Linked DNA regions of Danio rerio. Each later gene encodes a partner of the first gene's protein in a complex. Links are inferred from orthologs where the notes say so. Each region holds a gene or a part of one and is shown in the gene's direction. Other genes may lie near its edges. The genes, in order: mbtd1 and morf4l1.

Region 1 (4,298 bases):
CTTTTTTAAATATTTTCCAAATGATGTTTAACAGAGCAAGGAAATTTTCACACTATGTCTGATAATATTTTTTCTTCTGGAAAAAGTCTTATTTTCCATTTTTGGGACAAAATTATAAGCCCCTTTAAGCTAATTTTTTTTCTCAATAGTGTACAGAACAAACCATCATTATACAGTAACTTGCCTAATTACCGTAACCTGCCTAGTTCACCTTATTAACCTAGTTAAGCCTTTAAATGTCACTTAGAAGTGTCCTGAAAAACATCAAGCAAAATATTATTTACTGTCATTATGGCAAAGATAAAATAAAATGAGTTAATAAAACTATCATGCTTAGAAAAATCCACTTATAAAAATGTGACTGGGCTTGTCAAGCTTGTCGCCCTCAAAAAAATCATACAAAACAAGTATAAAATCATAAGAATTCAATGATGGAACGCATCCTTGATCGCACTCAGCTTCTCCTCCATCAGATGATGTCACTTTCGATGTCATAGCCTTAAAGGAATTTTATGTTGATGCAGATGTGACTGGACTGACAGAAACATGGGGACAATTGTACATTTCTTTGATTCATAATATTTGTAGTATGTATTTGTAGAATTTATAATTTCATGTTTTTTTTAATCAATTGATGTGAATGATCACAGCTTAAACTTTTAAATAACAGTTTTTAGCATAACAAAACTGTTAAAGCTGTAGGTTAAATTGAGCTGAGTACAAGGACAATGACAGGGTTTGTACATTTGTAAAGTGTTTTTAATAAAGAAAAATAATCTGACAAGAATGACATTCATTTACAGAACAACTCACAGAAATCAACCATCAGTCCATTTTAGACATTTGTGGGATGAAATACTTTTATCCACTGTATTTATGTTTATATTTATATTTCAGAGACAGATAATGTACGTTTCTGGTAGAAGAAAGCAATACCATGAATTTTACATCCTACAGGAATCTTAGCATTTCTGTAACAAATATCTGTTTACATTTATCGTCGCTACCATTGTTACAACCTGTTAAATTATATTGCCTTTAAGCTATGACCGTAAACATTCTATTTTAATGTTAGGGTCAATAAATCTGCTATTCCCACCACTAAATCCGATTTTATTTGATCTGTAATCATTCTCCCTCACTCAAACATTTCCTGTGACCAAATATGGGGTAAATGTGCCGAACACGTGAACGGTGATTGGCTAAAACATATGTCAATCATTGTAGATCCCTGCGCACGCGCACTCTCGAGCCATGACAATTGTTGATAATCAACTGGAGTTATTTTTTGCTATAGAGTAAAATAATTTCAAGCCAGGCCCTTTCCCTCCGGGGGGCTGTCGGATCATACCACAACAAACGTAAGATACCGACTTGCATGAAGGGCTAATGGAAAACCCAAGGGATATGGTAAGAAAGAGTTTATTTGAGCCCGCTTCCTTGATTTAGCTCAGTTAGCGGCTTAGCAGTTAGCCGTCCTCTTTGTTTTGGTTGTCAGAAACAGATCCTGCTCGTCACACAAACTACAGCGTTTACCTCATTCGAATCACTCGTAATTCTTTCTATGCCATATAACATTTCATTCAAATAAGCTGTCTTATTAAATGGTGCTAATACAGTTGGTAATGTATATGTTTTGTGCTGCTGCAATAGACCCGCAGGCCAATGAATGTGGAAATGTTTGTGTTTGTTTCCCAACACACAGTTTTTACGAGGCTCGCATATGCGTTAAAACGTTTTCACGAGCTGTTATGTACGAGCAGGCATCTTACTAGGGCTTAAGATAAGCGTATGTGCCTGTTTGTGTTGTGAGGGCTTGTAATATGACCTAAAATCATTCACTTGTAGTTAATAGGGATAATAACAGCATTAATTTGTGGTAAAATTGAATGTTAGGAGATGAGAATTGAAATGGTACTCTTTCAGGGGAAGAAAAGGTCCCAAAATGTTCATTCTGAAATCAGGTCACAGTGTATTGGAGTCCTTCTACAGTCTAGTGTTGAAGTATTGATGAATATAAATATGTAATTTCTCAAAATGCAGCAAATTTAAATTATATATATATATATATATATATATATATATATATGCGCCTTTTATATTCTGGCTTGAGATAATTGTGTAGAATCTTTAGTGCTTTGTACATGATATTTGCTTCTTGTGACCCTTGGAAGCCTTTAATTTTAATAATGTGATTTGAGCCGCCTCCTAATTCCCTCTTTTAAAGATTGTGGTTATTACTAGTTACAATATTAATCATGGTGTATCATGTCAAAGGTGGTCATTTATTAAAGTATTATGGTTGTGCAAGAGAGCTGTAATCCTTTTGTCTTTCTTTGCCCTTACTTTAATTTAACATTACTCCTTCCTTCTCTCTCTCTCTTTTTAATATTCTCCATTTTTTTTGTCTCACCTCGTCACATGTAGGCTGAGCACACTCCCCGCTCAGAGCGGAAGAGGAGAGATTCGTTCGGGATGTTTGACGGGTATGACAGCTGCAGTGAAGACAGCAGTAGCAGCTCCAGCTCGGAGGACAGTGAAGATGAAGTTCCCAGCATCCCTGCCAGTTTGCCTATCATCAAAAACAATGGCCAGGTGTACACCTATCCTGACGGGAAAGCAGGAATGGGTTAGTCATGTGGATACAAAAGTCAAAAAACATACCTAAATATTATTTAAATTATGGCTGGGCGATATGACAATCCTATATCATGATAAAAGTCATCACATATTCTTAAAGATATATGGCAAGATATATACATCTTTTTTCTAAATTCAATTAATTAATAGTTTATCTACATTTAGGAATGCACGATATATCGGTGGCCATATTGTTATAGGGCGTTAAATGCTATTTTTAATGTTATTATTATCGATCCAATATCAAAATTAGGCATATATCTTTAAGCTGATAGATTACGTAATTGTACAGAACTGCCTGCCTCGAGAATGCGTGGGTCAAAACTGTCCAGTGCACTATAATGAAGCTTTCCTCACATTTTTTATTGACAGCAAAAATGATCATAAAAGCGTCTGACAAGAAGCGTCTATATGTTCAAAAGAATCTAAAACGCCAAATAGGATGAATTTATGCCGATTTTTCTAAAGTAAAACATACTGTCTATCTGTATTATCTTTTTGCTTGTACTGTTGCTCTGAACTGTCAAAACACCTCACAAAATGCTTTTTTGGACATTGCATAGTTCTACATATGTACATTACTAAACCACGGTTTATTCAAGAACATTTGCGCTGTTTTCAGTTCTGTGTTCTTTCATTTTCGTTTTACTATTTATTTAACTTGTTTGTTAATTAAATCTTGTTTTGTTATTTAACCTATTATTTTTATGCAACAGTCAAGTTGCATGTTAATTTGCTATGCAAAGAAAAGGAAATCATTTATTTTTGGCATGCTAATTTATGTGAAATCATAAATATAGGTCTATATAATCACCTACAATTTTGAAATTATTGCTTTTATTGCTTTAAGTAGGCTATTCAAATATCAGTTCAAACTTTTATTAAGTTTTTAAAAACAAAATCAGCTGTTCACTGTATAAAAATATCAAATTTTGAAATATTTATATTTATCGGCTTTAATATATCGGTTATCAGCCTCCAAATCTCAACAGTTATGGATATCGGCCAAAAATATTATCGGTGCATCCCTAATAAACATTCACTAAATAGAAAGGAAATGTCTTTTTTCTTTACATTTTAAGGGATATACTCTGTTAAAATGTAATTCATTCTTATTTATATGTGATCATATCTTTAATTTTTTTCAGAACTTCAGGGCAAATTTTTTAGGAATGAAGTAATATAAAATGAAAATTAATGAAAAATAAGATGAATGCAGGCCTAACATAAAATATTGCAAAATGTAGACGTTGCACTTTCAATATTGCAACTTTTTCATGATGCTTTTATTCATGTTTATGTCTGCTTCCACATAATGCAGTGTAAAATTGCGGTCAAATGAATTATAAGTATTACTGTAGTGCCACCGTGAAATAAAAGATAGAGAATAATATGAAACGATAAACGTTTGATTTAGTCCATATATTGTCATATTGCACATCCCTAATTTTAAACCTGACACAAGCAATGTTATGAAAAGAAACGGTACAGTATTGTTTCTAATGAGAAATTGTATTTGGTGCCCTGTTTACTTGTTTACTGGTTTGTTGTTGAGAATAAATATGTTCAGTGGTGTAAATATGCTTTTTTTTTCCTCCTCCCTCTCATGCAGCAACCTGTGAGATGTGTGGTATGGTTGGTGTACGAGATGCTTTCTA
Region 2 (4,626 bases), on another chromosome or scaffold:
TTAGTTAAAAATTCTGTCTTATATGTGGGATGGATGGTACGCCACTCCACCTGTAATATTGGATGTCTGGGGCCACCCTTGGAGTGGCACACTGAAATCAATGATTGAACAAACGAACAAATGAAGGAAACCTTGATGTGTTGCACTTTTGTTTCTGGTTAATGTTTTCAGGTTTGATTGTAATTCTCTTTCCATTTAATAGAGAGAAGATTGTTTTTTAACAAATTTCTAAGCATAATAGTTTAATAACTTATTTCTAATAACTGATTTATTTTATCTTTGCCATGGTGACAAATAATATTTAACTAGATAATTTTCAAGAGACTTCTATACAGCTTAGCTCATTTAAAGGCTTAACTAGGTTTACTATACATGTTAGGGTAATTAGGCAAGTTGTTGTATATCGATGGTTTGTTCTGTACACAGTCTGAAAAATTTTGCTTAAAGGAGCTAATATAGGTTTGACCCTAAAATGATACATAATAAATTTTAAACTGCTTTTATTCTAGCCGAAATAAAACAAATAAGACTTTCTCCAGAAGAAAAAATATAATCAGACATACTGTGCTCTGTTAAACATAATTTAGAAATATTATAAAAAGATAATATCTTTTTATAATAAAAAGATATTACACCGGAGGGGCCGGTGTAATAATTCTGACTTAAAAGTGTGTGTGTGTGTGTGTGTGTGTGTGTGTGTGTGTGTGTGTGTGTGTGTGTGTGTGTGTGTGTGTGTGTGTGTGTGTGTGTGTGTGTGTGTGTGTGTGTAGTGCTGAGCATAATTAAGTACACACATATGTGTATCCAATTGTCAGTGAATATAGGCAATGTATTGTGGTGCATTTAAACGAAACAAATTTATTAAACAAATTTATTTAATGAAATAATATTTTAGTCACCAAACATAAATTTTTTTAAAGATAATACAATTAAATTCAAGCAAAATATGGCCCCAAAAAAACTTACAACCTATAAAAAAAATATTATTTATTTATTTTTCTCTTTTCTTAAATTTGCATTTAATATTTTTTTCTATAACATAAATTTGGCTGTACTTATTTTTGGACTGTTATCGTAAGTTATTTTGTTAGATAGGCTCCAGATTTGCTTCAGTACTGACTAATATAGTATAGATTCCTATTAAAAATATGAATTTAAAAGATAGATTTGTGAGGGGTGTACTTATTTATGCTGAGAACTGTGTGTATGGTATGTATGTATGTATGTATGTATGTATATATATGTATATATATATATATATATATATATATATATATATATATATATATGTATATATATATATATATATATATATATATATATATATATATATATATATATATATATATATATATATATATAAACAAAAGTCGTGTACACCTTGCATAACCTCAATTGTTTTGTTTTTGGTGCAGCTACCCCTTTAAATTTTAACAAGAAATAAAAACATAAATTATAGAAGAGGCGTGGCGTAACGTTGAAATATATCTGCATAAATGCACTTATTTACATGTATTGCCGTGAGTAGAGCACAACTTCTGTCATTCGTCAACAGGGGCTGCTGGATAAACGCTGTTTATTATGAGAGTCACCTGACAAGGGCGCCAGTAAAGTGCGTCATAGGAACGCAGCGCGGCGCCTTCACCCTGCGTGAATTAAATCGGAGCTGGCAATGCCTGGATTTGATTTTCCAGCTATTTTTATTGTTTAATCTGTGAATGGCGCCTAAACAGGACCCTAAACCTAAATTTCAAGAAGGTAAGATGCGCTTTGTTTCATCCACGAGAGTCACCCGTCGATCGGGGATCCTCTCATTCTGCCGTGCAAAGGAAGCGGGCGCTGCCGCTGCACAATGGCGCGCGCGCACGGCGAGCTGTCTGTTACAAAACACTTTTTAGCTGAGAGTTGCCGCCTTTAACTTGTGCAGAGTTGTTCATCACCTGTCAAGCGAGTGCATGATCGCACGTTGGTGCTTTTCGTTGCATCTGACAGCCTCTGCAGACGCACACAGCGGCGTGTTCCTGAAACAAAACATTAGCTGTTGTCTATGATGTAGCCGTTAGCATACAGCAGGCCTTGTTTACAGGAAGCGGCCATTGCAGTATTGAAGTCCTGGCGGGAACAGTCATTTACTTATTTGAAGCGTAAAAACAACGACGTTAGCTCGGAGCTGTTCTAAAACTGAAGTCGATAATGAGCAAAGAAAGGCTATATTATTGCATTAAAATGACCATTAGCAATTTTTGATAACTGAATGAATCGTTCTATAGAATCGAATCTTTAGAACAGTGTTCTATTCTGAATCTGATTCCTGAACTGGGACTCTAATATGAGTTAATATTGTTGGTGATTGTAAGTAAACGCATATGTCAAGTAAACAGTCAGATTTGATGTATTGTTTGACTATATAAGCAGGTTTTAAATGTGCGTATTTCTCGTTTGTTTAAGTATTGTGTATTGAAAATGCTAATTATATTTTGGTTATAATGAGCTTAATTATGATTCAAACAAACAATATGGTAAATATACTGCAGACTGTTATAAATCTACTATACATTTAAAACATTTCTTTGTTGTGGCATTTTCTGAAAGTACAATATTCTGTGCCCACACACATATTTGAATATGTAACACTTCTATTTTATTTATTAGCCCATTAGTGGATGTCATTGTATATTAATATTTCTGATGTTTTTTCAGGTGAACGAGTGCTGTGCTTTCATGGGCCATTGCTATACGAAGCTAAGGTACCTGAATCATTCATGCCATTATGCATGCTTCAAAAGGCTTTTTGATATTTGTTTTCCTGAAAGCAGTACCTGAATGGCATTACATTTATAGTGTAAATGTAGTCATGTGTTTGTAGTGGTTTTGTTTATCATATTAATGCTTTGGTATTGTTTTCTGTGTCAAGTAAAGGGATTTGTTTTTGTATAGTTAGCCCTCTACCCCATGGTGTTGCCATATGGCAACATAATACCGTTAATTTTTGCCAGTGCCACTGTTCTTCTTCTTCTGCCAGTGTTTCTTTAAGACCAACGTTCTGTTTGTTTTTTTTGTTTTTTTGTGGTTATTGGAAAGAGAAGACCTTAGTGTAGCCAATGATGTGCTTCGGTTAAGTCACATGACGTGCAGTGTTTTTCTGTGGCTTGGTTTCTGTTAGACTGGCGTTTATTTTGAATAGTTGCTGAAAGCAAATGAAAAAGTCAATAAAATCAAAGCATCAACCCATGCCAGATCCACAAACAAAATCTGAGACATCACATCCAATAAGTTATGATGACATATTCACAACTCAAAAAGATTTTGATCAAATTAGCATTTTGTAAGTCGATCAAATGTATGTGCTAGCAAATGGAAATGCTGTACAATAGAGGAATGTGCGATATTGCGATAGATTAGCTAGCTAGGTCAGCTCAGCTGTGGTCTTTAAAGTTGTAACAATAACAACATGAATGCTAGTAATATAACGTTGATTAGTTGTATGTTAATGGCATTTGCTTTATGGTTAAATCTAATTTTAATGGCAGTGCATTTGATTAGATATAAATACAAGGAACAGTGTATTAGTGAGGACCACAATGTTCTATAGTTAGTGAAAGAAGAAAAGGACACAACTGGCTCTTCCCACAGATGAACGTGAGGATGAGATGGTGACAATGAGAATAATGCAGATTGGACATTTGATAAGAGCAGTGATGAAGTCAGTTTAAGTTAGCTAGCTCAGAGGTGTATATAAGACAGATGTAGTAAAGTATATAGTTTAATATATAAACATAGTTTGCTGGTAGCAAAAGTTTATTTTGATGCATCTGAATATTTTAGACTTATTTATTTGTTATAATATTTACTAGAGGATATATTTATACTTTCTGTATGTTGTCTACATGATAATACAATATTATGTTAAAAAGAATGGACTAAATAAAAAGTTTTGGAATATCAGTTGAAGTCAGAATTATTAGCCCCCCTGTTTATTTTTTTCCCCAATTTCTGTTTAATGGAGTATGTTTTTTTTAACACACTTCTTAACATAATAGTTTTAATAACTCATTTCTAATAACTGATTTATTTTATCTTTGCCATGATGACAGTAAATAATATTTGACTAGATATTTTTCAAGACACTTCTATACAGCTTAAAGTGGCATTTAAAGGCTTAACTAGGTTAATTAGGTTAACTAGACAGGTTAGGGTAATTAGGCAAGTTATTGTATAATAATGGTCTGTAGACTATTGAAAAAATATAGCTTAAAGGAGCTAATAATTTTGACCTTAAAACTGTTTTAAAAAAATCTAAAACTGCTTTTATTCTAGCCGAAATAAAACAAGTAAGACTTTCTCCAGAAGAAAAAATAGTATCAGACATACTGTGAAAATTTCCTTGCTCTGTTTAACAAAATTTGGGAAATATTTTAAAAATAAAGAAAAAATAAAAGGGGGTTTAATAATTCTAAATTCAACCGTATAAGGTGTCATTTATAAGTTCTGTGTTAAAGCTTTTAACTCTGCAACACCAATTAAATAATTTCAAACAACAAAATTATAATTCATAAGGAAAGTTCTACATTTTAAATAAAGTTAGATCCACTAATGGATGTTGTTGTCATATCGCAGCATATCATA

Evidence for each region.
Region 2: mbtd1 (region 1) and morf4l1 share a complex: the UniProt entries of both Homo sapiens proteins name them as parts of the nuA4 histone acetyltransferase complex. The link is inferred for Danio rerio from reciprocal best matches to the Homo sapiens genes MBTD1 and MORF4L1.

Annotation. Positions count from the first base shown.
Region 1 is NC_133187.1:35,465,985-35,470,282, reverse strand, and holds the start of mbtd1 (MBT domain-containing protein 1), read left to right. Parts: upstream 1-1,243; 5' UTR 1,244-1,389; coding exon 1,390-1,410; intron 1,411-2,427; coding exon 2,428-2,629; intron 2,630-4,252; coding exon 4,253-4,298. UniProt on the Homo sapiens protein: Chromatin reader component of the NuA4 histone acetyltransferase complex, a multiprotein complex involved in transcriptional activation of select genes principally by acetylation of nucleosomal histones H4 and H2A.
Region 2 is NC_133193.1:21,420,653-21,425,278, forward strand, and holds the start of morf4l1 (mortality factor 4-like protein 1), read left to right. Parts: upstream 1-1,535; 5' UTR 1,536-1,718; coding exon 1,719-1,758; intron 1,759-1,831; exon of another isoform or gene 1,832-2,352; intron 2,353-2,700; coding exon 2,701-2,747; intron 2,748-4,626. UniProt on the Homo sapiens protein: Component of the NuA4 histone acetyltransferase (HAT) complex which is involved in transcriptional activation of select genes principally by acetylation of nucleosomal histones H4 and H2A.